4 linked regions of the Anolis sagrei genome follow. The protein of the gene in region 1 purifies or fractionates together with the protein of each later gene. This does not show direct contact. Links are inferred from orthologs where the notes say so. Each region holds a gene or a part of one and is shown on either strand. Other genes may lie near its edges. The genes, in order: EXOC7, EXOC6B, EXOC8 and EXOC6.

Region 1 (7,426 bases):
TTCGGACAGTGCAGACTGTTTGCTACAACAAAACCCCCAAAATAACTAGGATTTTATCCTGGAAACGACAAAATTGAAATAATATCCCAGATCCATTTACTGTCATGGCTGAGTTTGTTTCTGACTTATTCTTACTCATAAGCAATGGGTTCTGGGTAGAAATTTGCAGAATGTTGTAATACTCATAAAAATGCTTATATTATTGTAACAGGTGAGACATGATTTAAAAGTTAGCACTACATTATTATGAGCCACACTTTGTTTAAACTTGTTGTATGCCTCCCTGAATGGTATACTTGGAGAAAGGCAGTATAGGGAAACTGCATTTTCTTTTAAAGTACTTTAATGGTTAGCATCTTCTTTAAAATACAATGAAACACACATATAGGAAGAAAACCTTGAGTCTGGATGCAGCGCCTCCCTTCCCACCTCCCCCAAATGTCCAGTTCTTTTTGAATAGAAGGGCCCCACTTCTGCTCTTGTAGTTTGCTGGTTTCTCTCCATGGCTTTAAAGAGGCCAGCAGTGTGGCCAGAAACAAATTTCCGGTCCTCTCTAAATCTCCTCCTCTCCAGCTGTTACTTGTTGCTGGGCTGCTGGTTGGCAAGAATTTGGCTCTTCACCTTTATCTTTCAGAGAATGTTTCTTCAAGAAGTGGAAAATGTGTGGAGGGCTGATCCCTCTCTCCCGCCTCATATCTCTTAGAGTAATGACCATGGTGCCATGCTTTAGCTGAAAGAAATGTGCTTCAACAAGCGACACAACAATAGCCCCTATTTCTTGGTTCTCCTCTTGCCCACTTTCAATCTGTAATAAAACACTTAAATTCTTAAGGTGTGGTAGTGACCAGTCCCCCCTCCCTCGTTAGCCTTGAAAACATGCAAAAACAACAACAACAAAAACCCCCAAACAAACCCAAAATCCGTTGTGCGGTAAGATAGCCCAAAATGACATCTTTTCAGCATCTGTGCCCATGTAAGTCCTGAATGATGCCATCAAATGAAGAAGTCAGACACAAAAGAAAGAATCCAAATGCCCAAATTTTTTTCCTCTCACACATAAGTTGAAGGAAAGGTAGCCTTGTGCCCTGATGTTACCTGAGTTGGCACAGGTTGTAAAAGAAGAATATGGTCTACCAACCTAGAGTAGAGATATAAGGTAAAGGACACTATAAGCAGTTTCATCTCCAAAGCAGTTTTCTCTGCTGCTACAAGTTACATATAGGAAGATACAAGAGCCCAATCTCAATTTTGCCTATGCACATAAAAAACAACAGCTCTGCAGAGGACAGAAGAGTGCTTGTCAGGTTCCAAATATGAAAGGCTGTCTGTGCCTAATTGTTGGTAAGTGACTTATTGACCCTGGAAAATTGGTGAGTTAACTATGGAAAAGATCAAATTACCACAGATTGCTTGGAGTGGGGACAGGAAGGGACTGAAATCATAGTCACCACGGGCATTAAAAGCACTTTATATGATGAGCAGGTTACTGAAGCTGCAATCCTATACACCAGTGGTTCCCAACCAACTGAATTCCCAGTTTTTTGTTAGTTGAATGTTTGTAACTCAGAGACTGGCTGTAATAGGAGGCTTGGGGAGCACCGTCCAATGCTATGATTCTGTAACTAAAAATCCCACAATCTACAGCCAAAATAGCCAATGGGGACTCTAAGCCAAGTCAAATCCAACAGTGGACAAGGCTAAAGCAAAAAGTGGATGCTGCCTGCCTTTTCTCCCCTCTTTCCTCCATGCCCAAAAGGGAGTCCAACCGTTCATTTTTGGCAGATATCTGAATGGCTTGCTTGCAGAGAATTTTTGAAGGCATGCCAAGACTCACAAAACTTATGGCTGGGGCTTTTGAGCTCCTCTGATGTGTAAGACCATGCTACTAATCTACCATATTATTATTATTATTATTATTATTATTATTAAACTTTATTTGTACCCCGCTAGCATCTCCCGAAGGACTCGATGCGGCTTACAAAGGCCAAGGCCTCAACACACAATATAACAATACAGAACCAAAGCAAAATAAAAACAATTCAGCAATATGCACAGTTATCTATGGAAAGCCTGCTGCACCCAACAAAATCAATTCAGTTACTGTGTGCTGTCCATATAGCGCAAATAGCACAGTGCTGGATTTAGAACAAATGGGACCCCTTGCTAGTTATGAGGCCTCTTCCTTCCTTGGGCCTTTAAGGAGGGAGGCCAGGTAGGTCTACACTGCCTTCCATAGACTATCAACGCTATCATTATGTCTGGAATCGGTCCAAAACAGAACACCTTAAAATTTAAAAATGCACCACATAAGTAAAATTGACTGTAAAAAATGTTTGACAGGAAGATGGGCCCCTCTGGCCAACGGGTCCCTGTGTTTAAGCACAATGGTAAATCTGGCACTGCCCGCACACCCATGAAATGACTGATAACATCCCATAGTTTAATTAACTCCATTTGAGTCATTCTCCTCACTTTGCCTCAGGCCTTATTCTAGCTGGCACCTTTCTTTCTGGCATCTTTACCTTGACTGGATCTCTAAACCAGTTGGGGAACCAGTTATCTACATAAGATGTGAGTGGTATAATACATAACCTTTGTCAATGGGTTCCTGAAGCAAAAGAGCCCATTAACAATAGTGGAGGGCTCAGTCTCCTTGAAGCGGATATGGCATGGGGCATCCAGGAGTGGCCCACCCACCCACCGCCAAGGGATGAGGGATTTATTTCAAAGGGACCTGCATGGCTTGCAGTGTCTCCAGCTGAAAAGGCCAATGGAATCCCTGCCAGGCAGGCAGTACATTTCCCCATTCTCCAGCACATTTTTGTGGTGCATACTGCTGTTTGCTAAGTGGATTAGGACGCAGGACAAAGTATTTACTTTTATCTGAGTTGCATCAAGAATAGCTGGCCCCCCACCTGAAAGGAATGTCCCAATTAAATTACAAATGACATGTCCTGAGTGTAAGAATTGGGGATTGGCCAAAGCAAACAAAGCATTCAACCTTTACTATTTCCCCCTCAAGATCAGCGCACAGGGACATCTAGTGGATAAGATATTTTGGATAAAGTTTTTTTAAAAGATGGACACTGCATTTCACTTGTTTCTTACCACATTTGTAGAATAAATAAATAAATAAATAAATGGTGGGATCACAAGTCTGAAAAAGTTACACAAAATCAAGACATCAATCTATTCCGGGACTTCTGAATTCAGACTGACAGAGTTTTGGAGCACAATACCCCTGACCTCACAATCCTGGGAAAAACAAAAAACAAAGTATGGATCACCGATGTTGCAATCCCAGGTGACAGCAGCATTGACGAGAAGCAACTGGAAAAGCTGACACAATATAAAGATTAAAAGATTGAAATGCAAAAACTCTGGCACAAGCCAGTCAAGGTGGTCCCAGTGGTGATCGGCACACTGGGTGCAGTGCCTAAAGATCTTGGCCTGCACTTAAAAACATTTGGCACTGACAAAATCACCATCTGTCAGCTGCAAAAGGACATCCTACTCAGATCTGCACACATTATTCGCTGATACATCACACAGTCCTAGACACTTGGGGAGTGTCCGACATGTGATCAAATACAAAAGCCAGCATGGCGAACTTGTTTAATGTGTTCTAATCTTTTTGTGTGTCTAATAATAATAATGATAATAATAATAATACATCAAACTGCAAAAACTCTGGCACAAGCCAGTAAAGGTGGTCCCAGTGATCTGGGACCTTGGCCTGCACTTAAGCCAGCATGGCGAACTTGTTTAATGTGTTCTAATCTTGTTGTGTTTCTAATAATAATAATAATAATAATAATAATAATAATCTTTATTTACATCCCACCACTTCTCCCCAAAACGACTTGGGGCAGCTAATCATCATCATAATAATAATAATAATAATCATCATCATCATAATAATAATAAACTTTATTTGTACCCTGCTACCATCTCCCCAAGGGACTTACAAAAGAAGAAACACAATAGAGTAATAGTAAACATACAACCAAATCAAACTTAATTCATAACATACTAATAAAATTCAGAAGGCTGTTAGGAATTGTGGGAGTTGAAGTCCAAAACACCTGGAGGGACAAAGTTTGCCCATGCCTGCTTTACAAGGTCTTTAGCCTTCTCTGCAAAAGACTGCTGGTATTTCATCAAGCTAAAAATCTCATGGTAGTTAAAGGAGTGTCAAACCGCATTTATTCTACAGTGCAGACACACCTTCAGGGATGGTTATTTTAGCACATTCCTCTCCTTGCGGGTCTCCCACTAGGGGGCGTTCGGCGCCTCGCCCAATAGGCTTGTGACATGCGCAGTAGCACTCCCTCTGACACTAGCTTTGCGGGTTCGACAGATTCGGAGGGCGCTCTTCCATTCGCCGGGGAATTTTCCCCTGCCTCTCTCAAGATGGCGACCTTCTCGGACCGGAAAAGGCGGGGAATGAGGCGGAAGTGGAGTGAGTGTTGACAGGAGCTGGAAGGCGCTTCAGCGGAGGCCTTGGAGCAGTCCAGGGCCGGCCTCGGGTCGGGATGATTCCCACGGAGGAGGCCTCGGCCCGGAGGAGAGAGATAGAGGAGAAGCTCAAGCAGGTGGGGCCTCAAGGAGGAGCAGGAGGCTGCAGCGCCATCAGCCCCCGGCCACGGCATTGAGTCATGAGGCTATACCAGGCCTGGGCAAACTTGGGCCCTCCCTCCAGGTGTTTTGGACTCCAACTCCCACCATTCCTAACAGCCTCAGGCCCCTTCCTTGAGGGGGAAAAGGAAAGGGCCTGAGGCTGTTAGGAATGGTGGGAGTTGCAGTCCAAAACACCTGGAGGGCCTAAGTTTGCTCAGGCCTGGACTATATTGTGTGTGTGAGGTGGAGGGTGTGTGTGTGTGCTTGTTTTCAGTCCTTTAAAGTATAACACAGGATTTGAATATATTTTAAGTGTTATGACTATGTTTAGGCAGATTTTTCATAATAGCAGCAGACTCTCAGTTAACTGGTACCAATGGGGATCAATATGAAAGTAGCTTCTGGTTGCTTGAGAGTTATTACTAAGAGCAGGCCTCAGTAATACTATGCCCCATACAATGCCATCCCATAAGCTCTATAACTGGATTGGTGTTAATATTGAAACACAATAATTGAAAGCATATTGAGACAGAAAGGGCAAATTTATTGTAACACAGTTTTATTGTTTTATGATATTCTAAAAACAGCATTTTTAAATTTAAAGTATTATTTCTTTTCTTTTTCTTTTTGTTGCTATCTGCCTGAGTGTTACAATTAATTGAGTTATTATTATGATTATGTTTATTTCTGATTAAAATGTTTAATTGTATGGTTTTAATTGTATTTGTTTATTTTTGTATTTATATGTATTTTCATAAAATTGCGGCCTGTTGTAAAGCCGCCCTGAGTCCCCTTTTAGGGTGAGAAAGGCGAGATACAAATATGTGAAATAATAAATAACAAATACCCCGCTTTTTCTCTCCATACGGCTACTCAAAGCGGATCACAACTAAAAGCATTGCAATACAGTCTAAAAATATACAAATATACAAGTATTAAAACAGTATTAAACATCATAAAAAGCATATAAAATCACAGCAGCCCCTGATGACCTTAAAAAACCTTCTTCTTTAAAAGCCTGCCTGACTAAAAAGGGTTTAACTTTCTGTCTGAAGGGGACTGTTCTGGCTTTCCTGGGGAGAAGGGAGTTCCAGGGTCGAGGGGCCGCCACCAAGAAGGAAGGCCTGTTCTCTTTCCCACCAACTGGACTTGAGATAGAGGTGGGACTGAGAGAAGGGCCTCTCCTGAAGATCACAGGGCCCAGGCAGGTTCATACAAGGGGATGTGGTCGGTCAAATAGCCTGGACTTGAACTGTCTAGGGCTTTAAAGGTCATAACCCGCACTTTGAATTGTGCCCGGAAACAGATAGACAGCAAGTGCAGCTTCTTCAACAGGGGGTTGTCAGCTCCTTGCAGCCAACCCCAGTGAGCAACCTGGCTGCAGCTCTTTGGAACAGCTGAAGTTTCCCAGCACTCTTCAGAGGCAGTTCCACGTAGAACGCATAACAGTAATCCAGATGGGATGTTACAAAGGCATGGACTACCGTGGCGAGATCTGGCTTCTCAAGGAATTAGCACACAAGTTTTAATTGTGCAAAGGTCCTCGCAGCCACTTTCAACACATGGACCTCCAGATCCAGGAGAACTCCCAAACTGCGGACCTATGTCTTCAGGAGAATGTGACCCCGTCCAGCACAAGCTGAATCCCTAGTCGCATAAGGCTGGAATGACTTGAAGGCACCCAGAAATAATAGAAGGTAGCTTTGAGTATAAAGGTGCCAGGATATACAGTGTAGTTGTTGAATCACAGAGTTGGAAGAAACCTCCCAAGGGCCATCCAGTCCAACCCCATTCTGTCATGCAGGAATATACAATCAAAGCACCCTGACAGATGGCAGTTCAATAAAGAAATAAATGACAAAAATGACAAAACCAATAGAAGTTGCACCTCTGGAGGATATCCAGAAGGCCCAGGTTGCCCTCCTAATTTGTTTGTTTGTTTTGGTATCCTGTTAGGCTTAGATGATCTTTCTGCTCTGTAATGGGATGTGTGTCCTCTGTTAATAGTGGGTGCCCCCCCCCCCCCGATTTACAAACTGCACCAAAAGCTAAAACAAGAAGAGAGCCAGAGTCCTATGCACAGTTATATGGGAGTGCATTTACCAGCCTTGCTTCCTAGGAGCTTAATGTGTTGCAGTTAGGACCAGGGTTTAAGCTCAGAGCACAGTGTAAAGTATCTTATTCTTTCCCAATTATTATTCCACAGGTGGCACCATAGGAGATGTCACATTGTCTTGCACTCCTTGCATCAGCATTTAAAAGCTTAAAAAATTACATAGTGGGCTCTTTGTATGCTCTTTGTCTCCAGAAGCCCTCCCCTTCCTCGTACAGTAGACAAAGAGTAGGACTTTCCTGGTGAACATCTGGAAAAACTATTGGCACACAAAATACTCTGTTTTCTCTAGCACTTACAGGAGAAGTACTAGGACTCACATGAATCCTGAAATTACACCAGAAAACCTCTCTATCGGGGAGGGGGGGGGGGAATTGACAGTGTTTCATTGTTACGGCTACACAGTTACTGAGAACTTGCAATTTTGTTAAGAATTTAGAAAGGTAATATTTGAAATTTCAGGACACAGGTTAATACTTTCCCCTCTGTTTGCACTGACAGGAAGAAGAGACATTGTCTTTTATTAGTGAGAGCTTAGAAAAAAGTGACCAACTCACCAAAAACATGGTAGGTTTGTCTGTTTTTTTTTTTTAAATCAAGTATGTGACATGTCTCAGTTGTGCTTTACTTGACGATAATGTTAACTAATCTTGCAGTAGACTGTGCTGAAGGAAATGGTTCCAATCTCTACAC
Region 2 (7,877 bases), on another chromosome or scaffold:
CCTGTGGCTTCCTCTCACATATTTATGCATATTTATCATATCTCCTCTCATCCTTCTCTTCTTCAGGCTAAACATGCCAAGCTCCTTAAGCTGCTCCTCATAGGGTTTGTTCTCCAGATCCTTGATCATTTTAGTCGCCCTCCTCTGGACACATTCCAGCGGATGACTAAAATGGTCAAGGGTCTGGAGAACAAGCCCTATGAGGTTGGTTTCATCGAGACATTAGACTCCTATTGATCTGGGTTAGAATTGGATTGGACTTTTCTGCTGCTGCATGACAGCTTTGGCTAACATTCAGCCATATATCTTACTATCATCAAGCCATGGCTATATTACTTTCCTCCATCCAGACACTGGACTCTTTTTGATGCAGCTTAGAGACGCATTGGCCTTTTCTGCTGCCACATCACACTCTCGACTCACATTCAGTCATATATATCGCTATTGTCAAGCCATAGCTATCTTACTTTTCTCCATTCAGACACGAGACTCCTCTGGATGAAGACTAGAATCACATTGGCTTTTTTAGCTGCCGCATCACACTGGGATCCACTATGACTCCGAGATCCCTTTCGCATGGACTGTTTTCAAGGCCATCATCTATCTCTAAATATGTACATATAGATGAGGCACAGGTAAATGTCGGCCCTACTGGCTGTTTGGAACTGTGGGAGTTGGAATCCTAAACACCTGGAGGGCCCAAGTTGGCCCAGGCCTGATATTGACAGTTCAATTCTTCTACCTAAAATATAATACCTTAGAATAGCATTGGCCTTTTGAGCTGCTGCATGACAGCCTTGGCTCACGTTCAGCTATACTATCATCAGGCCATGGCTATGTTAATTTCCTCCATCCACACATTGGACTCTTACTGATGCAGCCTAGAATCGCAATGGCCTTCTCTGCTGCTGCATCACACTCTTGGCTCACGTTCAGCCATATATATCACTATTGTCAAGCCATGGATATATTACTTCCCTCCATCCAAACATTAGATTCTTATGGATGCAACCTACAATCACATTGGACTTTTGAGCTGCTACATCACACCCTTGGCTCACTTTCAGCCACACTATCATCAGGCCAAGGCTATGTTACTTTCCTCCATCCAAACATTAGATTCTTATTGATACAGCCTAAAATAATCACATTGGCCTTTTGAGCTGCTGCATGACAGCTTTGGCTCAGGTTCAGTCATCTATTTTACTATAATCAGGCCATGGCTTTATTACTTTCCTTCATCCAAACATTCTTATTGATCCGGGTTAGAATTGCATTGGGCTTTTGTGGTGCTGCACCACACCCCTGGCTCACGTTCAGCCACACTATCATCAGGCCAAGGCTATGTTACTTTCCTCCATCCAAATATTAGATTCTTATTGATAGAGCCTAGAATCGCACTGGCCTTTTGAGCTGCTGCATCACATCCCTGGCTCACGTTCAGCCATATATCTTACTATCATCAAGCCATGGCTATTTTACTTTCCTCTATCAAGACATTAGACTCTTATTGATGCAGCCTAGAATATTTATTTGTTTGTTTATTTTATTTACACCATTTCTACCCCGCCCTTCTCACCCCCGAGAATAATCGCATTGGCCTTTTGAGCTGCTGCATGACAGCCTTGGCTCACTTTCAGCCATACTATCATCAGGCCATGGCTATGTTACTTTCCTTCATCCACACATTAGACTTTTATTGATCCGGGTTAGAATCGCATTGGCCTTTTGTGCTGCTGCATCACACTCTTGGCTCACATTCAGCCATATATCTTACTATAATCAGGCCATGGCTATGTTACTTTCCTCCATCCAAACATTAAATTCTTATTGATGCAGCCTAGAATAATCGCACTGGCTTTTTGAACTACTGCATGACAGCCTTGGCTCACGTTCAGCCATATGTCATACTGACATCAAGCCATGGCTATATTTCTTTCCTTCATCGAGACATTAGACTCCTATTGATCTGGGTTAGAATTGCATTGGCCTTTTGAGCTGCTGCATGACAGCCTTGGTTCACATTCAGCCATACTCTCATCAGGCCAAGGCTATACTACTTTCCTTCATCCAGACATTAGACTCTTATTGATCCAGATTAGAATCGCACTGGCCTTTTGTGCTGCTGCATGACAGCCTTGGCTCACGTTCAGCCATATATCTTACTATAATCAGGCCAGGGCTATATTACTTCCCTCCATCCAGACATTAGATTCTCATTGATCCGGGTTTGAATCGCATTGGCCTTTTGTGCTGCTGCATGATAGTCTTGGCTCACGTTCAGCCATATATGTTACTATAATCAGGCCAGGGCTATATCACTTTCCTCTATCCATACATTAGATTCTCATTTATCTGGGTTAGAACAGCATTGGCCTTTTGTGCTGCTGCATCACACCCTTGGCTCATATTCAGCCATATATCTTACTATCATCAGGACATGGCTATGTTACTATCCTCCATTCACACATTAGATTCTCATTGATCCAGGTTAGAATCGCATTGGGCTTTTGTGCTGCTGCACCACACCCCTGGCTCACATTCAGCCCTATATTTTCCTATTGTCAAGCTGCCAAGCTATGACTATATCACATTTTCTGAGTGGAGGTAATGGGAAGCAATGTTTATTATACAAATATATAATAAATATTTGTATTTATTTATTATACAGTATAAATATTTATTATACAAAATAAAGTCAATAAATAGTAAAGTAAATAATAAATGTGTTGTGGGGCTGGCAGGGTGAGGGGCCAGGAGGGCGGGCCTCTTGCCTTCCTGCTTCCCCTTCCCTTCTCCTCACCGGAGGGTGGGCCCCAGGCAGGCCGTGTCGGTGCTGTCCACCTCCCGCAGGATGCGCTCGTGCTCGGCCGCCGCCTCCAGGCTCTCCCCCGCCGAGGACGCCATCGGAGCCCGAAGACAGGCGAGGCGCGGCCGGGAGTGAGCCTCTGAGGGAAATCAGGCTCCGTCTGGGCCTAGGCCGCGCCCCTCCGCCTGCCCGTAGCAATGGCAACCGCCACGCCCCTTGGAGACGCCGCCGCTGCGCATGACGGGAAGCGTAGTCCGGAAGAGAAACAGCGCCCTCTCACGGGCCGACACTCACGGGGTGAGAGGGAGTGACAACAAAAGGAGGAGCGAGATGCGCGCGCATCGCTCCCGCCAGGCCACGCCCCCCCTTGCTTAGGGAGGGAAAACAAAAAAGAGGAGCGAGATGCGCGCGCATCGCCCCCGCCAGGCCACGCCCCCCCTTGCTCAAGGAGAGAGGGAAACAAAAAGGAGGAGCGGGCTGCGCGCGCATCGCCCTCGCCAGGCCACGCCCCCCTTGCTCAGGGAGGGAGGGAAACAAAAAGGAGGAGCGGGCTGCGCGCGCATCGCCCTCGCCAGGCCACGCCCCCCCCTTGCTCAGGGAGGGAGGGAAACAAAAAGGAGGAGCGGGCTGCGCGCGCATCGCCCTCGCCAGGCCACGCCCCTTTTCTCAGGGAGGGAAGGAAGCAAAAAGGAGGAGCGGGCTGCGCGCGCATCGCTAGCTCACCTTCCCTTGCACTCTTATTGCTGCGTTCCCCGCTGCGACCGGTAGGTGGCGCGTGAAGCCTTGCTTTCCATTCCCGATTGTTGTTATTGCTGCTCCTGCCTACCTGCCTTAATAGTAATAATAATAATTGTGCAGGTACAGCTGTACCAGGAGCACCAATTTTGTTTGCTTTGCATTGAATGTTTTTTGCAGTCCTAAGTTTCAAGGACTCGGCAGATAGGTAGCTTCTTTTGGCTGCAATCATAGGGCAAGCCACCTGTCAACAGAATCATAGAATCCAAGAGTTGGAAGAGACCTCCTGGGCCATCATCCAGTCCAACCCCATTCTGCCAAGAAGCAGGAATATTGCATTCAAATCACCCCTGACAGATGGCCATCCAGCCTCTGTTTAAAACCCTCCAAAGAAGGAGCCTTCATCACACTCCGGAGCAGAGAGTTCCACTGCTGAACGGCTCTCACAGTCAGGAAGTTCTTCCTCATGTTCAGATGGACCATTTAAGGTGGAATCGGGTGTCAAACAGGGATGTGTTATTGCCCCGACTTTATGTCGGGACGCAATAATGACCAGGCGGGAGACAGGGCGTCAAAGTGAATGATGATGGCTTTTTTATTGTTGCCCAAGCAAAGCTTATATGGGTTCTGGTGCTCTTCAGCAAAAGTCTGCCTAGCGACAGTGGGTGATTATATAATGGCCAGGTGATTGGTGGAACTCTCAAGGGTGAGGTAATCTACAGGTGAGGTCAGCTATAGGTGATGTAATCCTTCCTGCCCTCAAGGGTAATGTCCTTACATGGTCAGTGGGGTAGGAACCGTGTGTGCATCTGGTGAGTACGGTTTGCCGATGCTCTCCAGTGGCAACACCCTGCCACTACAACTTTATTCTCCATCTTCATCGCTATGATACTTCACCTTGTTGATGGGAAGCTTCCCAACGGAGTGGAAATCATCTCTTGGACAGATGGCAAGCTATTCAACCTCAGCAGACTGAAAGCCAAAACCAAGGTTACAACAACATCTGTTATAGAACTCCACTATGCTGATGACAATGTCGTCTGTGCGCATTCAGAAGATCTACAAGCGACCTTCGCAGAAGCATACACGAAGCTTGGCCTGTCACTGAACATCGGGAAAACCAAAGTGCTCTTCCAGCAGACACCAGCCAACCCTTTCCAATGCCAGAGATACAACTTAATGGTGTAACATTAGAAAATGTGAACCATTTCCGCTCCCTTGGCAGCCACCTCTCCACCAAAGTCAACATCGACACCGAAATACAACACCGCCTGAGCTCTGCGAGTGCAGCATTTTCCCGAATAAAGCAGAGGGTGTTTGAGGACGGGACATCCGTAGGGATACTAAGGTGCTTGTCTATAAAGCTATTGTCCTCCCAATCCTGCTCTATGCCTGCGAAACATGGACTGTCTACAGACGTCACATGCAACTCCTGGAATGATTCCATCAGCGCTGCCTTTGTGGCCCCATTTCTTAAGCTTGGCTCTGCATCTCGTGGTGCCAGAACACAGCCTATTCAGCACCTTCCAAGTTGCCCCGTCTTCTGTGTGCTTGGGAGAGAGTCTCTCATTTGGTTTCAGCCATTGGTTGAGGTTCTGGGTTTGAGCCTGCCACTTTTGGACTCTCGCTTGCTGAGGTGTTCCAGCAAGTGTCTCTGTGGATCTTAGAAAACTATTTCTTGATTTAAGTCGTTGGCATGCTGGCTGATACCCAAACGGGATGAGCTGGGGATGTCTCTGCCTTGGTCCTTTCACTATTGGCTGCTACTTCCCGGCGGATGTCAGGTGGTGCAATACCGGCTAAGCAGTGTAATTTCTCCAGTGGTGTAGGGCACAGACACCCCGTGATAATGCGACATGTCTCATTAAGGGCCACACCCACTGTTTTAGCATGGTGAGATGTGTTCCACACCGGGCATGCATACTCAATAGCAGAGTAGCAAAGCGCAAGGGCAGATGTCTTCGCTGTGTCTGGTTGTGATCCCCAGGTTGTGCCAGTCAGCTTTCGTATGATATTGTTTCTAGCACCCACCTTATAAACAGTCTTGTAGTCTGTTTTTAAGAAAGAGAGGAACCCTCCAAACGTAGGAAATCAATCGGATTCTTTATTCTTTCTGCAGAAAGTAGAGAAAACCATCTTGGAGAATAGTTCTGCAAAGTTTAGTTTTTGCTGAAGCATGTAAAGCAGAACAGGAATATATAGCCTTCTGTATTTACAGACAGCGTTGGCTCATCCCACTCTGTGCCTGTTCAACTGAAAATGTTCATATAGCGAGAAATGAGCATAAAATTAGGCATGGATAAATCTATGTAAATGATGCCCTTTCACCCAAATATTGTTGTTTGGAAAGCAAATGAATGACTGCCTTTGAAAAGTATCCTTTCTGCAGGGAATGAGAGCCTCTTTGTTCCATCAAAGGATGGATCTACACTGATACATAATCAAGATGATCAAAGCAGATAATCCAGATGCTCTGCTTTGGATTGGGTTATATGAGGTTCCTCCTATCCTGCCATATAATCCAGATTATCTGCTTTGATATGGGTTATATGAGTCTACAGATTATCTGGACTATTCTGCTTTGAATTAGATGAGTCTACACTGCCATAGAATCCAGTTCAAAGACACTCTGAATTTTATAGGGCAGTGTAGAAGAGGTTGAGAAGGGCGGGATAGAAATATTGGAAATAAATAAACTTGCCTCACTGCAAACAGAACCTCTGAAAATGCTAGTCACAGATGCAGGCGAAACATTAGGAGAGAATGCTGCTGAAACATGGACATAAAGTCCAGAAAACTCACAGCAACCATATACTCAAAGTGTTGACTATAAATAACGAAGCAGTGTCTCAGTCCGTGTGGCACTTTTTTCGTGTTCACCCAGCAGGGTGATTTGGCCAAATACACCTGTTGAACAACCTCGTTGTTTCTTGTGTCTGATTGGACAGAGATGCTGGAGGTTTTGGGCCATAATGAAAATACACTACTTATTTTTTTATACCTGCCGCATTAAAAGAACATTTGTACCCTTTCTAAACTTAGCATTTCCCTCCTGTTTCCTACCATCAGTTCATACATAGCACTGGTTGCGCTGCACTCGCCTCTGCCATAGAGACCGACTCTTCCTCCAAACAGAGGAGGGCGACTAAAATGATCAAGGGTCTGGAGGACAAGCCCAATGAGGAGCGGCTTAAGGAGCTGGGCATGTTTAGCCTGAAGAGAAGGCTGAGAGGAGATATGATAGCCATGTATAAATATGTGAGAGGAAGCCACAGGGAGGAGGGAGCAAGCTTGTTTTCTGCTTCCCTGGAGACTAGGACGCAATGGAACAATGGCTTCAAACTACAAGAGAGGAGATTCCATCTGAACATAAGGAAGAACTTCCTGACTGTGAGAGACGTTCAGCAGTGGAACTCTCTGCCCCGGAGTGTGGTGGAGGCTCCTTCTTTGGAAGCTTTTAAACAGGGGCTGGATGGCCATCTGTCAGGGGTGATTTGAATGTAATATTCCTGCTTCTTGGCAGAATGGGGTTGGACTGGATGGCCCATGAGGTCTCTTCCAACTCTTTGATTCTATGAAACAGCAGCTTCCTTTGGACAGCTGGGACTCTGCCTTGGCCAAGAGAGGCACTGACCACTCCCTTGGCCAATTATTATTATACAGTTATCTGGAAAACCATGTGACGGCAAACAGAACCTCTGAAAATGCTAGTTACAGATGCAAGCGACACATTAGGAGAGAATGCTGCTGAAACATGGCCATACAGTCCAGAAAACTCACAGCAACCATATGCTCAAAGTGTTGACTATAAATAACGAAGCAGTGTCTCAGTCTATGTGGCACTTTTTTCTTGTTCACCCAGCAGGGTGATTTGGCCAAATAAACCTGTTGAACAGCCTCGTTGCTTCTTGTGTCTAATTGGACAGAGATGCTGGAGGTTTTGGGCCATAATGAAAATACACTACCTATTTTTTTATACCTGCCGCATTAAAAGAACATTTGTACCCTTTCTAAACTTAGCATTTTCCCTCCTGTTTCCTACCATCAGCTCAGACATAGTACTGGTTGCGCTGCATTCGCCTCTGCCATAGGAACCGACTCTTCCTCCAAACAGAGGAGGGTGACTAAAATGATCAAGGGTCTGGAGAACAAGCCCAATGAGGAGCGGCTTAAGGAGCTGGGCATGTTTAGCTTGAAGAAGAGAAGGCTGAGAGGAGATATGATAGCCATGTATAAATATGTGAGAGGAAGTCACAGGGAGGAGGGAGCAAGCTTGTCTTCTGCTTCCCTGGAGACTAGGATGCAATGGAACAATGGCTTCAAACTACAAGAG
Region 3 (7,254 bases), on another chromosome or scaffold:
TCGGTTTAACCCAAAATTTTATTCATTTTATTCTGCTTTATTCTGCTTCATTTTTATTCTGCTTTCTCTCAAAATAGAGATTCAAGGAGAGATTAACCCCCACCCCCACCTTAGAGAACTATGCCGGTCTTCAACAAACTTGAATTGTGCCTAATTCCCTTAACAAGAATAGAACAAAATAATTGTGACTAAATTTACCTAAAGTGATAGGTCTCATGTCAATTTCAACATGCTTTCTGCATCAATTTCAAAATAGCACAGTCAACATTAATTTGAGCCATGTCAGGTCCATAAATCTTTAACATTAGTTTGTAAATAGAAACCTGCCATGAAAGCAGAAAGCAGTACATGACTCTGCATTTATTTCTATTTCTGCCACCATTCCAGCCATAAGAAAAAGACAATCTTTAACACACTCCACAGTGCTAAGAATTGAAGAGAAAGGAGTGGTGTTGGGATATAATTCTACCCATCCAATAATTTCCAGATGCGATTAAACTAAGTGCTCAAAGTGCTAGGTTGTCCTGACTATTGCAACCACTTGCAAGTTTAGTCCCTATATTCTCTGCTACGTTTTTCAGTACATACTGCCTTTCTTCGGCAGGCAAGCCACACCCTCACTTCTGTATGTGAACAAACCATTTGGGATAAAGCCAAGCTACAGAGGGAGTTTGTACATAACTTGTCCTCCCTCATCTACTAAATGATAAAAGGGCGGGGTTCTTTAGTGTTAGGAAGGCAAGAAAAACAGGTATTATCCTGCTGTGAAAAACAGCAATAGATCTTTAGAAAACATAAGAAAGCAAAACAGGAAAAATGACTGGAGTAATGCTGAGCATTGGGATGAGTGAACCACACAAAGCCACGGCCATCATAAATAACTGCCTACAAAAATAATATCCTGTCTCAGGAAGCTGGGCTAGATGACTCAATACTTTGCTTCCATGTTGCTTCTAAATTCAAGGACACTATTTGGAAAACGTTTCCACTCATGACGCCTTTTGACCTAAGAATTTTTTGTGGGTACACAAATATATAGAATAGGCATCAATAGATGTGAGAAGAAATCAGCACTTGTGAGGCTTGCTAAACAGGCTGATTTTCCTTTTTATGAACTATACCTGAAGCATCTTCTGTAGAATTACTGTGAACACTGCACAACAGATTTGTGCAAATGTCAAAACACCCACTAGCTGACATTCAGAAAACGTTTACTGCTGACAAATGTTTCTGGACTCCAACATTGAGCAAAGGGAACCCCGCTTGAGGTTGGGACCCAAAGTTTTATGAAGCTGTGATCTAGAGGATATGTAATTAAGGGTAACACAGTTTTTTTTCCATCTCATCACTTTGGGCCCTTACCTTTACACACTCAGCAGCAGTAGATAAGCTCTCCTTACTGTCAAACACCTGCTTGCTAAACGCATCCACAAACATCCTCATTGCTGATCGAGCCCAGACAACAAAAGCCGAATAGCACCCACTGTTGCCAGCAAAGTCCGTCTCAAACTCCTTTGCGGTCTCTAGCAGGCTGGTGAAGAAGACATGGCACAGCTTGTGAATGTACAGCAGAGTGGCACCTTCAATGCGCAACTGTCGGATGGCTGTGTGAACGGCCGCTTCCCTGTTCCGCAGGAAAAGTTCGCACGCCTTGGTTGACTGGCCCAACCGGATGAGCTGAGAAACAGCACGACGGGTTGCTCTGGGCCCACCTCGAAGTGACCTATCTGGAGAAAGCTCAAACACAAGCACGTCGGTGAGCTGCCTGATTCTCTCATCCACTTTTGCTCGTAACTCCCTGACTGGTTGTGTCAAGGGCTTATCCCCTAGATACTCATTCAGCTTATCCAGCAAGTCAACCGCCCCTTCGAAGTCTCTCTGAGCGATGCAGACATCCAAGTCTTCAGGCAACTCCTGAATCCACTCCAGGGAGAGATCCACCACTTCTTCCTCTGGGGTCCCCCCTTCCCCACTTTCCTCCTCATCCTCATCGAAGGGGTTGGTAGCCTCTGGAGGGGCTGGGGGAGGCGCACGGGCTGCCGGCACCTCCTGTTCCAGCCTCCGCTTCTCGCTCAGCACGCGGCTCCTCTTGGTCTCCTCCAGCACCTCCAGCCACTCTTTCTTGATCTTAGCGTTCTCGGCCTGGAAGATGCGGCTCTCGGGGAACATGAGCAGCTTGAACATGTCCTTCATGGGCGGGTTATCCTTGACATTGACGACGGCCAGGCCGTCCAGTGGGTAGAGGGCGTCGTAACGGTAAGTGCCCCGGCGGTTGGGCAGCCAGGCCGCCACCAGCAGGCAGTCGTTCATCAGGAAGGCGTGCACCTTCTGAATCTGGACCATGTGGTCGGCGTCGTACTCCACCAGGTCCCCGTTGTATACCAGGTACTTGCCGGGGCTCTCCGGAAGCAGGTCGCGGCAGCCCTCCACCTTCTCCAGGAGGGTGGTCAGGGTGCGCTGGCGGCCCTCCTCGCTGGCTGCCGCCTCCTTGGCGGAGAGGGGCAGGAAGGGGTTGGCGTGCGGGTCCGAGGAGGCAGCCCCGGCGGCTCTGTCGTCGCGGTCGGCCTGGAGGAGCAGCAACGCCTGGGTGACGGCCTCCAGGATGCCCTTCTGCTCGGTGAGGATGTGGCTGAGCTGGTACATCTCGCTCTCCAGGTAGCTGATCTCGCGCGCCGTCTCGATGAACTGCCGGTAGTTCTGGTAGACGTTGCGCTTCAGGCTCTGCGCCGTCTCCTCGCTCAGGGCCTGGATGCGCTGGCGGTGCTCCTGCAAGTCCCGGTCGCCGTCCGACTGCTGCGAGAGCTGCTTCACGTACTCCTCGGCCGCGTAGCTCCCGGACTCCAGCTGCCGCCTCAAGCGGCTCCCTCCCGCTCCTCCTCCGCCGCCGCCGCCCGGAGCCACCTCACCCAGAGACAGCGCCATGGCCGAGCCGGAGCCGCCAGAGACCAGCCTTCGCCGAGGAGGGAGAGGAAGCAAGGCGTCGCTGCGCCGGAAGCAGGGGCCGCCTCTGACCGGAAGGCCGCTTACGTGCGCCGCTGCGTAAAAAACGTCAAGGCGCCGCGCCGCAGTGACGCGAGGCGCGCGACTCTCTCCGAGGCAGGAAGACAACAAACCCTCGGCTTTACGGCGCATGCGCCGGGATTTGAAGGCGGAGGGCTCAACGAAAGGCTGTGCTCCAATGGACGGCGACTTCTTGCTGGCGCTGCGGCTCCAAGAGGAGTGGAACGCGGAGGAGGGCGGCCGCGCACGGGCCTCCCTCAAGGCCGGCCCAGCCTTCACCTCGCCGGCACGGCCGCTGTCGCTGGTGGACGAGAGCTGGGAGCTGCTGGATCCCAGCCCGGACGTGCGAGGCCTCTTCCTGCAGTTCAACCAGAGCCTCTTTTGGGGGGCCCTGGAGGCCGTGGAGGTGAAGTGGAGCCCCCGCATGACGCTGTACGGTTTCATGGGACACGTTGTGCCCCACACATTTTCTTATTCGGATTTATGGCTGTGTCCTTACCTCTTTTAAGGGGTTGGCTTAGCCCAGGCGTGGGGAAACTTTCAATAGAATCATAGAGTTGGAAGAGACCTCGTGGGCCATCCAGTCCAACCACCTCCCCAAGGCATAGTTCAGTAGTCAGAACTACCCTTGGCTCTCAAGTCTGGACTAAAATGTTCCTTTTCAGATTAAACCACAATCCCAGAATTCTCATACTAGCTGGATGTTGTAGGTTTTTTCGGGCTATATGTTCTAGAGGCATTTCTCCTGACGTTTCGCCTGCATCGATGGCAAGCATCCTCAGAGGTAGTGAGGTCTGTTGGAACTAGGAAAAAGGGTTTATATATCTGTGGAATGACCAGGGTGAGACAAAGGACTCTTGTCTGCTGGAGCTAGGTGTGAATGTTTCAGCTGACCACCTTGATTAGCATTTGATTGCCTGGCAGTGCCTGGAGCAATCTTTTATGGAAGGAATGATCTAGCTACATGCAGGAAATGTCCAAGTAAGAACATGCAGCCATTGGCAATTACTGTCAGTGATACATGCATCTTAAGCCCTAGAAGAGTCATCTTTCTTGGGAGCAGAGGAATCTCAGAAGTAAGGAAACCTTTGTGAATAAAAGACCTCAGGAGTGGGTAGCCGAATTCAGATAGGCCTGGAAACCAGGCTGTTTAATATCCTAGGTGATTTCTGTTGCTGGAATAAGTTTTACATGGAGTCTATCTCCTTAAAGTTACTTTTTAGTATTGACTTATGGATCCAAGTTAACACCTAACTCTTATATCATGCCTACCTTTTGCTCCCCAATGTCTGAACCTGACATTACTCTAACAACACTTATTAGATTGTATCCACTTTCACACTAATATTTGGCTACAGCTTCCCCTTGTTGATCAATAAACGTGTTGAAAAAAATAGGCACTAATCACAATCTTAAATTTTCTAACAAATTACTGTAAAAGAGAAAAGTCCTGATTATTTACCCCCAAGGAGAACAATCGTCCAACCTTCTATTTCAAACAAGGTAAGAACCCTAATGCATTATGAATACAGAACAGCCAAGTTGCAGTTGAAAGCAAATGTTTGTTGTTTGTGATTTATTATTTTCTAGATGTGCAGGAGTTTGCTGCTATGAAGGCCGTGGTGGAATGTGCTCCATTCGACTTAGTGAGCCCCTTCTAAAGCTGCGACCGAGAAAGGATCTTGTAGAGGTACTGTTGATGGTTGTCTTTGTAGAGAAACATCAAACAAACTGTAGTAAATTTATTGTAGCTAGCATGCCTGAACATTCAAATATGTCCAGAAGGCCCTTGAATGAATAGTTATCTAGCTCCTCACATGAGCATTTATGTTTGATGTCCTATTTGATATGAGTTTGTTCGGCCTCAACATAAGAACAAACAGATCATTTATCTTTGTTCCTTGAGGGTCGTTCCCAAAAGGTGTTGATGGGGGACAACTGCTTTACTTCACAACCATTGACTTGTGGGGTCCCCTAGGGATCAGTATTCCCCCCTATGTTGTTTAACATTTACATGAAGCCACTGGGAGAGATCATCTGGAGTTTTGGGGTCAGATGTCATCTGTATGGAGTTGTTGTTCAGCTCTCTCACTCCTTCCCACCAGTTACTAAGAAGGCTGTGATTCTATGAAATTTGCCCTCCCTCTGCTAGATAACGTGACTGCATTTGTGACTGAAAAGTGTATTTTGCTTTTAATGTTTTTGGTGTTCTTAGATGTTTAGAGGCATAGCTGTACTCAAGGTAGTACTCTGTATTTTGTAAGTGATTTTTGATCCTCTAGAACAGTGATTTCCAACCTTTGGTCCTCCAGGTGTTTTGGACTTCAACTTCCAGAAATCTTAGCCAGCTTACCAGCTGTTTGGAATTATAAGAACTGAAGTCTGAAGCACCTGTCAGACTAAAAGTTGGGAACCATTGCTCTAAAATGAGAGGATCCAGTGATTTGAGCAGCTGTCAAAAAGTAAGGTGGGTGTGATGCATGTAGCATATTGAAAATATTTTAACTTTGATTTCAAAGAAATATGCTTCTCAGATCTTTTACCTTTGAAACTTACAGAAGGAGAAGCATTACAAAATGAAATGCTCACGGTGGAATTTTTTTGTTTTGATGTAATTTGTTGTATTCAAAAACAACAAAAATATTAACAATAAGCCCTCATGTCATCAGTTGGGGACCCCTCCTCCCAGCACCAACTGCTGCTCTGGGCCAGAGTGAAGGGGGGGGGGGGACAGTTCCATCTTGTCTCCTGCATTTGTCATCAGTTAGGGACCACTCCCCCAGCACCAATTGCTGCTCTGGGCCAGAGTGAAGAGAGAGGGGGCCAGAAGACAGTTTTACCTTGTTTCCTGTGCTATGCTAATAATATAATATAATGTAGTGTACTATATTGTATATACATATAATATTTATAATATTATAATGTAATACAATATAATAATACTACTAACAATATGATATAATTATATATTTTATATTACATGTGATGTTACTAGTAATATTACAATATAATGGTATAGTACAATATAGTAATATATAATACTGATATTGTACTATGCTAATAATATATTGTATATATATATATATGTCTTGTAAGCCACTCTAAGTCCCCTTCGGGGTGAGAAGGGTGGCATATAAATGTCTTAAATAAATAAATAAATAAATTCCCTCACATTTTAGCTTCAGGAAAATCATAGAATAACATTTCTGATCTGACAAAAATTAAGAAGCCCTTTAAAGTAATACAATCCCAGTGTGTAGAAAAAGTCTAAAGAGAGGAAGTATCTCTCACCCAACTGTAGTAGATCACACAGTTGTCACAGTCAGACATGTGTTCACTCTTGCCCACCTCATTTATGGACTTGTGTGTCAGGTCAAACAAATTCTCAGGTCAGACTAACAAATCTGACTTCTTATAAAGCTGGGAGTGATTTTGAGCTCCTGCCTCCTTCTTTGTTCCTCTCCTCGTTTGCCAGCTGTAGCATTTTGATTTTAGTTAAAGGCCATATTGATTACAACGAACAATGCCAGAGAATGAGAAAAATGGAAGGAAACATTTTAAGTGTTTATTTTAAACTGGTGCAGCCCATCTCTGTTTTAAGCCAATTGTAGATAACTATTTCTTATTGCTTAAGAAATAAACATTTCAACTAATCCAATGATTTTTTAAAAATTTCAGACTCTTTTACATGAAATGATTCATGCTCTGTTGTTTGTCACTTATAATGACAAAGATCACGATTCTCATGGCCCGGAGTTCTGCAAACACATGGATCGGATAAATCGCTTAACTGGCACAAATATTACGGTAAACATTATTTGTAAGGCACTTCTCAATGCTTGAAGTACAACAGATTAGTTCCCAAACTAAGGTCCGCAGGCTGGATGCAGCCCTCCAATGTAATTTACCTGGACCCCGCCCTAAACTTTAGATTTAGGATCATCCTAATTCTGAAGTGACTTGAAGGCACAGAACAACACTATACTGTTTATATTAACACTATACAGTTTGTCATTTAACTGTATGAAGCTTACTATTAGATTGCAACTTTTAAGTATTATGACCAGAATGAATACACAAATGATATATATTTTGGACCAATTCTCCCATGGAACCATTAATTTGATAGAGCCTTGTCTTCCTGTGTAACTTTGGTGTCCAGGGTGCAAAAACAACCATATTGAATCAGGCCTGAGACTTGTCTAATCCAGGATTGTGTTCACATAGTGTTCAAGTCATTGCCCATGGTAAGCT
Region 4 (7,782 bases), on another chromosome or scaffold:
AGATGGCAGTACTGATATGTGGCAGTTACTGGTTTGTTCAGTAGACTCTCCTCTACAGTTCTATTTTGGCAGGAAGCTTTAGCATTGAACAGTTGTATTGTTAAAGTGCAAAGTATGGAACCCTGGGCAGATGGTCAATGCGACTTAAGCAACATGCAGTCAGTGAATTCTTGACAGCAGAAGGTGTCACCTCAAAGGATATTCATCAGAGATTTCAAGCTGTTTATGGTGATTGTGTTAATGTGAGTACTGTGAGTCATTGGGCAAGTAAGTTTAAAGATGTTGAGATGGGAACAACTGACTTGTGTGACAAAGAGTTGGAGGTCCTGTAGCAGCAACCACCGAGTTTCACAAGCAAAAGGTTGACAGATTGATTCAGGATGATCATAGTATCACTCAGAGAGAAATTTCAAGCATAGTTGGCATTTCAAAAGAACGTGTGGGTCACATTACTGCTTTGCTTGGCTATCGGAAGATCTGTGCACGATGGGTACTCAGGATGCTGACTCCTTAAATTAAAGCACACAGACTTGAAACTTCAGAGACTGGATCTCACCACCATATGACACCCTCCATACAGTCCAGATTTAGCACCGTCTGACTTCCATCTGTTCCCGATAATGAAAGAAGATCTGTGGGGACATCATTATGCTTCTGATGAAGACATTGAGACAACTGTGAGACGCTAGTTGCTGGTTGCGGAAACAGAACGTCGACTTCTTCCGTGACGGCTTGGTATTCTATTTCAATAATTGCCTATCGGCTTTCAACTCACCAGGACTACCAAGGCACTGTGCAATGAATATCTTCATTATTATCATTTACATGTTTTTAAGCAGTTCTAAACTTATGTTTTTAATAAGAATGTATGTGTGTGCTTGTGCACACACACACACAATGTATTTCACATTACTTTAGCTGTTATGTCGCTGTAATGTATTTTATAACCAAATGTTAGTCCCAAAGTGCATCAACACCGTAGAATTAATGCAGTTTGACACTACTTTAACATCCATGGCTCAGAGCTATGGAATCATGGGAGTTGTAGTTTTACAAGATCTATAGGAGCGGGACGCAGGGAGCACACAACGCCCTTGTTGTTCCAGCTCCACTGGCTGCCGATCTGCTACCGGGCCCAATTTAAGGTGCTGGTGTTGGCCTACAAAGCCCTAAACGGTTCCGGCCCAAATACCTTTCTGACCGCATCTCGACCTATGAGCCCACGAGGACCTTGAGATCGTCTGGGGAGGCCCTTCTCTCGATCCCGCCTGCCTCACAGGCACGTCTGGCGGGGACGAGGGATAGGGCCTTCTCGGTGGTGGCCCCTGCTGTGGAACACCCTCCCTGCAGACATCAGACAGGCGCCCTCCCTTATGTCATTCCGCAAGAGCCTAAAGACATGGTTATTTGAGAAGGCGTTTGACTAAGTGCCACAACAATTGGCAATGACGACTGGAACGGAATATGGATTACGAGTTTGGTTTATGATTCCAAGATGAGACGGCGCGGATGATTTAGTGTAATTTGTATTATTGTTGTTGTTGATATTTGTTGTGTTATTGCCTTATTGTAAACTGTTTTTATATGTTGTACACCGCCGGGAGTCGCCCTAGGGCTGAGAACGGCGGTCAACAAATGCAGTAAATAAATAAATAAATAAATATAGCTTTCCCTGTCAAAAAGTGTTGGCATCTCACCAAACTACAATTCCAAGGAAAAGTGGAATGGAGGAAACAGAAAAGAAATATGTTGAAAGTGAACAGTGAAGCATGCCCACCCTGGCAACAATAACTGCTGCAACCCTTTCTTATTTCTTATAAAATCCCATATTATGTGCTTTGAACTGGGCTATATGGCAGTATAGACTCAGATAATCCAGTTCAAAGCAGATATTATGAGTTATCTGCCTTGATATTCTGGGTTATATGGCTATGTGGAAGGGCCCTATGACAACTTTATGAAAACCTGGTACAAAAATGCTTCATCACCTTATTTACATTATATGATGATGCACAGATATTACAGGACAAATCAAGTGTCTTATACTAATAGTTTCTGCAGTGTAATCTTCTTCGTAAATCAATACACACAAGTACAGCTATGTTATTTTAAAATACTCCCATGAGCTACTATAAATAAACTCGAATATGATACCATGTAATCTGATATGCATTACGACAAAAAAAAATCATGAAGAGATTTGCCTTTTTTTGTTTGCTAATTGCTATATTTTAACACAGGGTAAGTTAATCTTCTATTACAAATATCAGATAATTCTGTATTTAATTATGTAGACTTATCTAGAAGCATGCATATGTTTAACAGGCAATTCGTATATGAAGTGCAACCCCTTCCCCCCAAAAACAACTGCATTATTTGTTTCTTTAGCATAAGAACGGAAGATATAAATATATCGTCATAAATCAACATTTCAGCTGTTAGTAAAAACCTGTTAGCCATACCACCACAAAGATAGACCTAAAACAAATAATTCCATCACACATTTTGATCAGAAATGGGAATGAGAAAAGTATTTTTTAAGAACAGCCTCTTAACATCCTGAACTTAAATGCTTTTCATCATAGTAATTGAAAACAAAGAATGCATTTTCAGCTTTGGGATGTCAACCTGTACAGGCTGGTTTATAACTAGGTCTGTTTTTATTAAAATAAGAAAATATAGTATAATTGCTCTGAATATTTTACAACAAACCCAGCGGAAGGAGCATAAAGTACATTCTTGGCAGGAGATACTCACCCTAAAGTGATTCCCAGGGGCAGCTCCAAGTATTTAATCTCACCAAGGACTGTTTCATACACATTATCTTTGTTTTCTTCCATGCAAAATCCATCTGTGTTAGGACTGGCATTGGCAGCCATGGTAAAGCACTAAACTGTTCCAGGCATAAAGGGAGGACCGTCTTCTTTTAATATCACCGGAATGAAAGACTCTCTCACCAGCAAAAGGAGAAAGCAAATCCTGATTTGACATTGGGCGTCCTGAAGACATTCTGCCCACAAGTGTGACACAGCTGTTGTCATCCAGCCTGCTATAAGTAGCCTTTTCCTTATGACCCCAGACTTGTTATGACGCCAGATCTGTTTCATGCCTACCTATTTTAATGCAGCCAAGAAGCAATCAATCAAAATGCTGGATGTTTATTTTATATAACCATAAAGCCTGGAAATGTTGGTAAGTTAGACTGCAACTCCCACCCACCTCCACCTGGTAGGGCCATCAATCATGTTAGATTGGCATTTTAGGAGTTATAGTGTTTGTTTATTTATTTATTTATTTGAAGCATTTCTACCCCACCTTTCTCCACAGCGCAGACCCAAGGTGGCATAGAGCATACCAGAATATAAAATCCATCAAACAGTTATACATAAAAGGTAAAACCTAATAAAACATAAATCAATAAAATTTATTTATTTATTTACCATATTTGTATACCGCCCTTCTCAGCCCGAAGGCAACTCGGGGCGTTCACAGTTGGCAACATTTGATGCCTCAAGAAATAAAACAATCATAAAATACCATTAAAAGCATTTATGTAAAATATAAAAATATAAAAACCGTACAAAGCCATAAAACCATTATTGTGAGCGCCTCCTTGTTAAAATCGTTATTCAATTGCATCATCAGGTCGTTCCATGATTTCGTATAATTATGCTGGATTAGCAAAAGCCTGCTCAAAAGCCAGGTTTAAACCTTTCTTCGAAAAGTCAGGAGGGAGGGGCCCTCTCTTATATCCCTGGGAAGGGCGTTCCACAATTGAGGGGCCACTACTGAGAAGACCCTATGTCTTGTCCCCGCCAAACACATCTGTGAGGAAGGTGGGACTGTGAGTAGGGCCTTTCCAAAAGATCTTCGTGTCCTAGATGGTTCATAAGGAGAGATACTTTCGGATAGGTAAGCAGATCCAGAACCACTTAGGACTTTATAGGCTAAAGCCAGCACTTTGAATTGTGCCCAGAAGCAAACTGGCAGCAGTGGAGCTGGCGCAACAGAGGAGTTGTGAGCTCTGTTCCTATTAACAACCTGAGATGGAGCCCCCGGTGGCGCAGTGGGTTAAACCGCTGAGCTGCTGAGCGTGTTGACCAAAAGGTCGCAGGTTCGAATCCGGGGAGCAGCATGAGCTTCCGCTGTCAGCCCCAGCTTCTGCCAACCTAGCAGTTCAAACACATGCAAATGTGAGTATATCAATAGCTACTGCTCCGGCAGGAAGTTAATGGCACTCCATGCAGTCATGCCAGCCACATGACCTTGGAGGTATCTATGGACAACATTGGCTCTTTGGCTTAGAAATGAAGATGAGCACCACACCCCAGAGTCGGACACGACTGGACTTAATGTCAGGGGAAAACCTTTACCTTTACTTATACAAGAGATAGGCTGCAGTTGGGTGTTTCTGGATATAATAACCTAGCCTTGGGGCTGATTTTTGGGAGAAAAGTATTTGTCTTATTTTGGTAGTAGATGCTGCTGGTTTCCCCCCAGGTTTCTGGATTTTTGGTATCCTGACTTGTCTCTTGGAATCCTGGAACCTTGAATCTTTGGACTGGCTTTTGACTACAGTATAGACTCGTGATCCCTGGACTGTACTCATTGAACTTTCAGCATTTGACCACTGAACTGGACCCTTTGACTACGGTGTAGCATTTGCTATCAGTTTTTGTTTTATATTCTGTGGCTGAGTGCTATCTTTATGTTTTATATTTTGGACTATTAAAACAGCCAGAAAGTAAGTGCTGTTTTAATTAAACTTTTGGATACAAACTGGGTGATTGTTTGGTTCATCTCTACCTGAATAAGGCAGAGCCCTGGCATTGTGACAATCATCCACCAAGGTGACCAAAGCTGTTCCATGTCCTGGTCTGAAGCCAGATTGGAATTGACCCAGATAATCAACCTCATCCAAAAATCCCTGGAGATGTTTAGCCACCCGCTTTCCAGGATCTTACTAATAAATGGTAAATTAGATACCAGCCTATAATTATCCAAGATTGTAGGATCCAGGGACTGTTTTTTAGATGGGGTCTAACCACTGCTTCCTTCAAAGCAGTAAGAACCAGGCCTTGATCTAGCAAGGCATTAATTAGTTCCCTGTTCCAGATCGTACTCCTTGTTTTGCTTGACCAGTCACGAAGGGCAAGGGTGTAGGATGCAGGTGGTGGCTTTCACTTCTCCAATGATTCTGTCAGCATCCTCAGGTGACACAAGTTGAAATGAATCCGTGCAAACAAGACCAGACGATGCAGTGGGTGCATCCATGGGAATTGCTTTAATAGTGGAATCCAAAACCGCATGGCTCCAACCAATCTTGGATGCAGAATAACTCACGAAGGTCTCACAGTCACAATTAGAGTGAAATTGATGGCCTACAATTCTCTAGAATGGTACCCTAGTTCAAGAGCCCTCTCAACACTCAGAAAAGTTTGTTGGGCCTGTTATTAACGGCCGTGTCATGATGCCAGGGCTCTGCCTTATTCAGGTAGAGGTGAATCAAAAAATCATCCAGTTTGTATCAAGCAATTTAACCAAAACAGCACTTATTTTCTGGCTGTTTTAATAGTCCAAAACATAAAACATAAAGATTGCACTCAGCCACAGAATATAAAACAAAATCAGCAAACACTGTTGCAGGTTCAAGATAACTCTGTAGTCAAAAGGAGTAAGAAACTCTGTAGTCCAGTGATCAAAAGCTGAGAGTTCAATAAACAAAAGTCCAGGGATCTATACTGTAGTCAAAATCCAGTCCAAAGGTTCTAGGTTCCAGGATTCCAAAGGTTCAGGTCAGGACACTGAAAATCCACAAACCTGGGGGAAACCCAGCAGCATCTACCACCAAAATAAAACAAATACTTTTCTCCCAAAGATCAGTCCCAAGGCTAAATCCTTATATCCAGAAACACCCAGCTGCAACCTATCTCTTGCATGCTTGCACCCTTAATTGTTTTCACCCATGAACTCTTACTTACAGATTACTCAACCCTTTAGAACTAAGACTTACACTAACCCTTCCATCACCAACTGCTAGGCCTACCACCACCAACCACCATCAACTGCAGAACATAATACATGACAGGCTGCAATAGAAGTAGAATAGAATGCCTTCTTCACGGTGTCTATAGCAGTAATTACTTATATTTAATACTGATATTATACTATGCTAATAATATAATATCTTGTAAGCCGCTCTGAGTCCCCTTCGGGATGAGAAGGGCGGCATATAAAGGGTCGTAAATAAATAAATATGCCTTTTGCTGGCTGATGGTTTCCTTCTGGTCGGAAATGTGACTTTTTTTACTCCACTTGCACAGAAATATAAATTTCTCATAAAAATGAAATATATGTTCCTGGGCTTTTAAAAGTTTGGGCTGGTTTAAAAATGGCATTTTTCTTAACTTTGATATCAAATTCTGACTTCCCACTGCCAATTAAAATAAAGTCACATTTTCCATGTTCAGATCTTTCCTGTTGCTTAAAAAAAAATTCCACACACAAGCCAAGGAAATAGATCATGTTGGAGGAAATGCCACTAAATGTACAAAGGTCGACATGACATGTGTTGATCAGCAAGTTCATGATGATATTAGAAGTACATCTTTGTAAGAGTATTATTAAAATAAAAATATGGGGCAATGCAGCCATCAGCCAAATATAATATAAGTGAAGTAATATGCCTTACCATTAAAAGGCCATGTTCCCCACAATATTATTGAAATTAAGACGGATATGACCTAACTGCAAGACTGACGGGAAATTTATGTTTTTGACATGCAGTAATGCCATGAAGCCAAAAACTGCTGAATTTGACAAAACAATCGCAGTGAAATTGAATAACTACATCCAATAATAAATAAATACTCAAAGTACTATAGAACTTCCAATGGGAAAATGCTGAATGTATAACCTATGTATTGAACTTCATTCCAAAATGAATATATAGGTATTTGTTATTCGATGTGAAGGTGGAGCAGTCTATTACAGTTAAGATAATCTATTGGAAATGTAATGTTTTTGAAAGGCAAATGCTTGGCTCCGAATGATTGGAAACAGATTATAATTCCAGCTAAATAGGGTTTGAGAAAGACACTGACAGGGCTACAGAGATAGCATTTTGGATACAAATTATCGATGATATTAGGGAAACTTGCAGTAGAGGTATTGTTTTATGCAATTTAACATTTGGGCAGTAGATAACACTACATATGTAGCACCATTTTTGTTCCCGGGTTACAAATGTCATTTCCTAATTGGGTCTAGCCTAAAAACATGGACAAAGTTTATTAAACTGCAAAAACTTTGTTTTGGCGGGACATCCCACAGCATATTTTGCTATCATTTTTCAATGAATATCTCATTGAGTTTCAACCAATTCAATATAGTTTGTGGCGGACACAAAAACACAGTTTCTGGAGTATAACAGATGCTTTCAAAGTATGTGCTGCACAATTAAACAGGAAAAACACGCTTTTAAACAAAGAACAGAATATTTTTCAATTTTTGTAACATAGAGAATTAGTTAGCTTTCAGGGCTTTTTTTGACTATAAAGGGCAAAGGTGTCCCCTTGACATTAAGTCTAGTCATGTCTGACTCTGGGGGTTGGTGCTCATATCCATTTCTAAGCTGAAGAGCTGGTGTTGTCTGTAGACACCTCCAAGGTCATGTGGCCGGCATGACTGCATGGAGCACCCTTACCTTCCCGTGACTGCATGGTGTTGTCCATAGACACCACCTAGGTTATGTGGCCAGCATGACTGCATGGAGCGCCACTA

What was found.
Region 2: the proteins of EXOC7 (region 1) and EXOC6B purify together in Homo sapiens (affinity purification with mass spectrometry; 3 studies listed by BioGRID and IntAct, with this or other methods). This does not show direct contact. The link is inferred for Anolis sagrei from reciprocal best matches to the Homo sapiens genes EXOC7 and EXOC6B.
Region 3: the proteins of EXOC7 (region 1) and EXOC8 purify together in Homo sapiens (affinity purification with mass spectrometry; 4 studies listed by BioGRID and IntAct, counting the BioPlex papers as one, with this or other methods). This does not show direct contact. The link is inferred for Anolis sagrei from reciprocal best matches to the Homo sapiens genes EXOC7 and EXOC8.
Region 4: the proteins of EXOC7 (region 1) and EXOC6 purify together in Homo sapiens (affinity purification with mass spectrometry; 4 studies listed by BioGRID and IntAct, counting the BioPlex papers as one, with this or other methods). This does not show direct contact. The link is inferred for Anolis sagrei from reciprocal best matches to the Homo sapiens genes EXOC7 and EXOC6.

Annotation. Positions count from the first base shown.
Region 1 is NC_090022.1:118,826,081-118,833,506, reverse strand, and holds the start of EXOC7 (exocyst complex component 7), read left to right. Parts: upstream 1-4,413; 5' UTR 4,414-4,535; coding exon 4,536-4,595; intron 4,596-7,234; coding exon 7,235-7,300; intron 7,301-7,426. UniProt on the Homo sapiens protein: Component of the exocyst complex involved in the docking of exocytic vesicles with fusion sites on the plasma membrane.
Region 2 is NC_090025.1:2,905,258-2,913,134, forward strand, and holds the start of EXOC6B (exocyst complex component 6B), read right to left. Parts: upstream 3,017-7,877; 5' UTR 2,908-3,016; coding exon 2,804-2,907; intron 1-2,803. UniProt on the Homo sapiens protein: Component of the exocyst complex involved in the docking of exocytic vesicles with fusion sites on the plasma membrane.
Region 3 is NC_090021.1:60,851,368-60,858,621, reverse strand, and holds the start of EXOC8 (exocyst complex component 8), read right to left. Parts: upstream 3,021-7,254; 5' UTR 2,923-3,020; coding exon 1,363-2,922; intron 1-1,362. Other genes in the region: DNA-dependent metalloprotease SPRTN, read left to right, coding at 3,131-3,432, 4,591-4,690, 6,679-6,807. UniProt on the Homo sapiens protein: Component of the exocyst complex involved in the docking of exocytic vesicles with fusion sites on the plasma membrane.
Region 4 is NC_090023.1:186,661,435-186,669,216, forward strand, and holds the start of EXOC6 (exocyst complex component 6), read right to left. Parts: upstream 3,020-7,782; 5' UTR 2,880-3,019; coding exon 2,758-2,879; intron 1-2,757. UniProt on the Homo sapiens protein: Component of the exocyst complex involved in the docking of exocytic vesicles with fusion sites on the plasma membrane.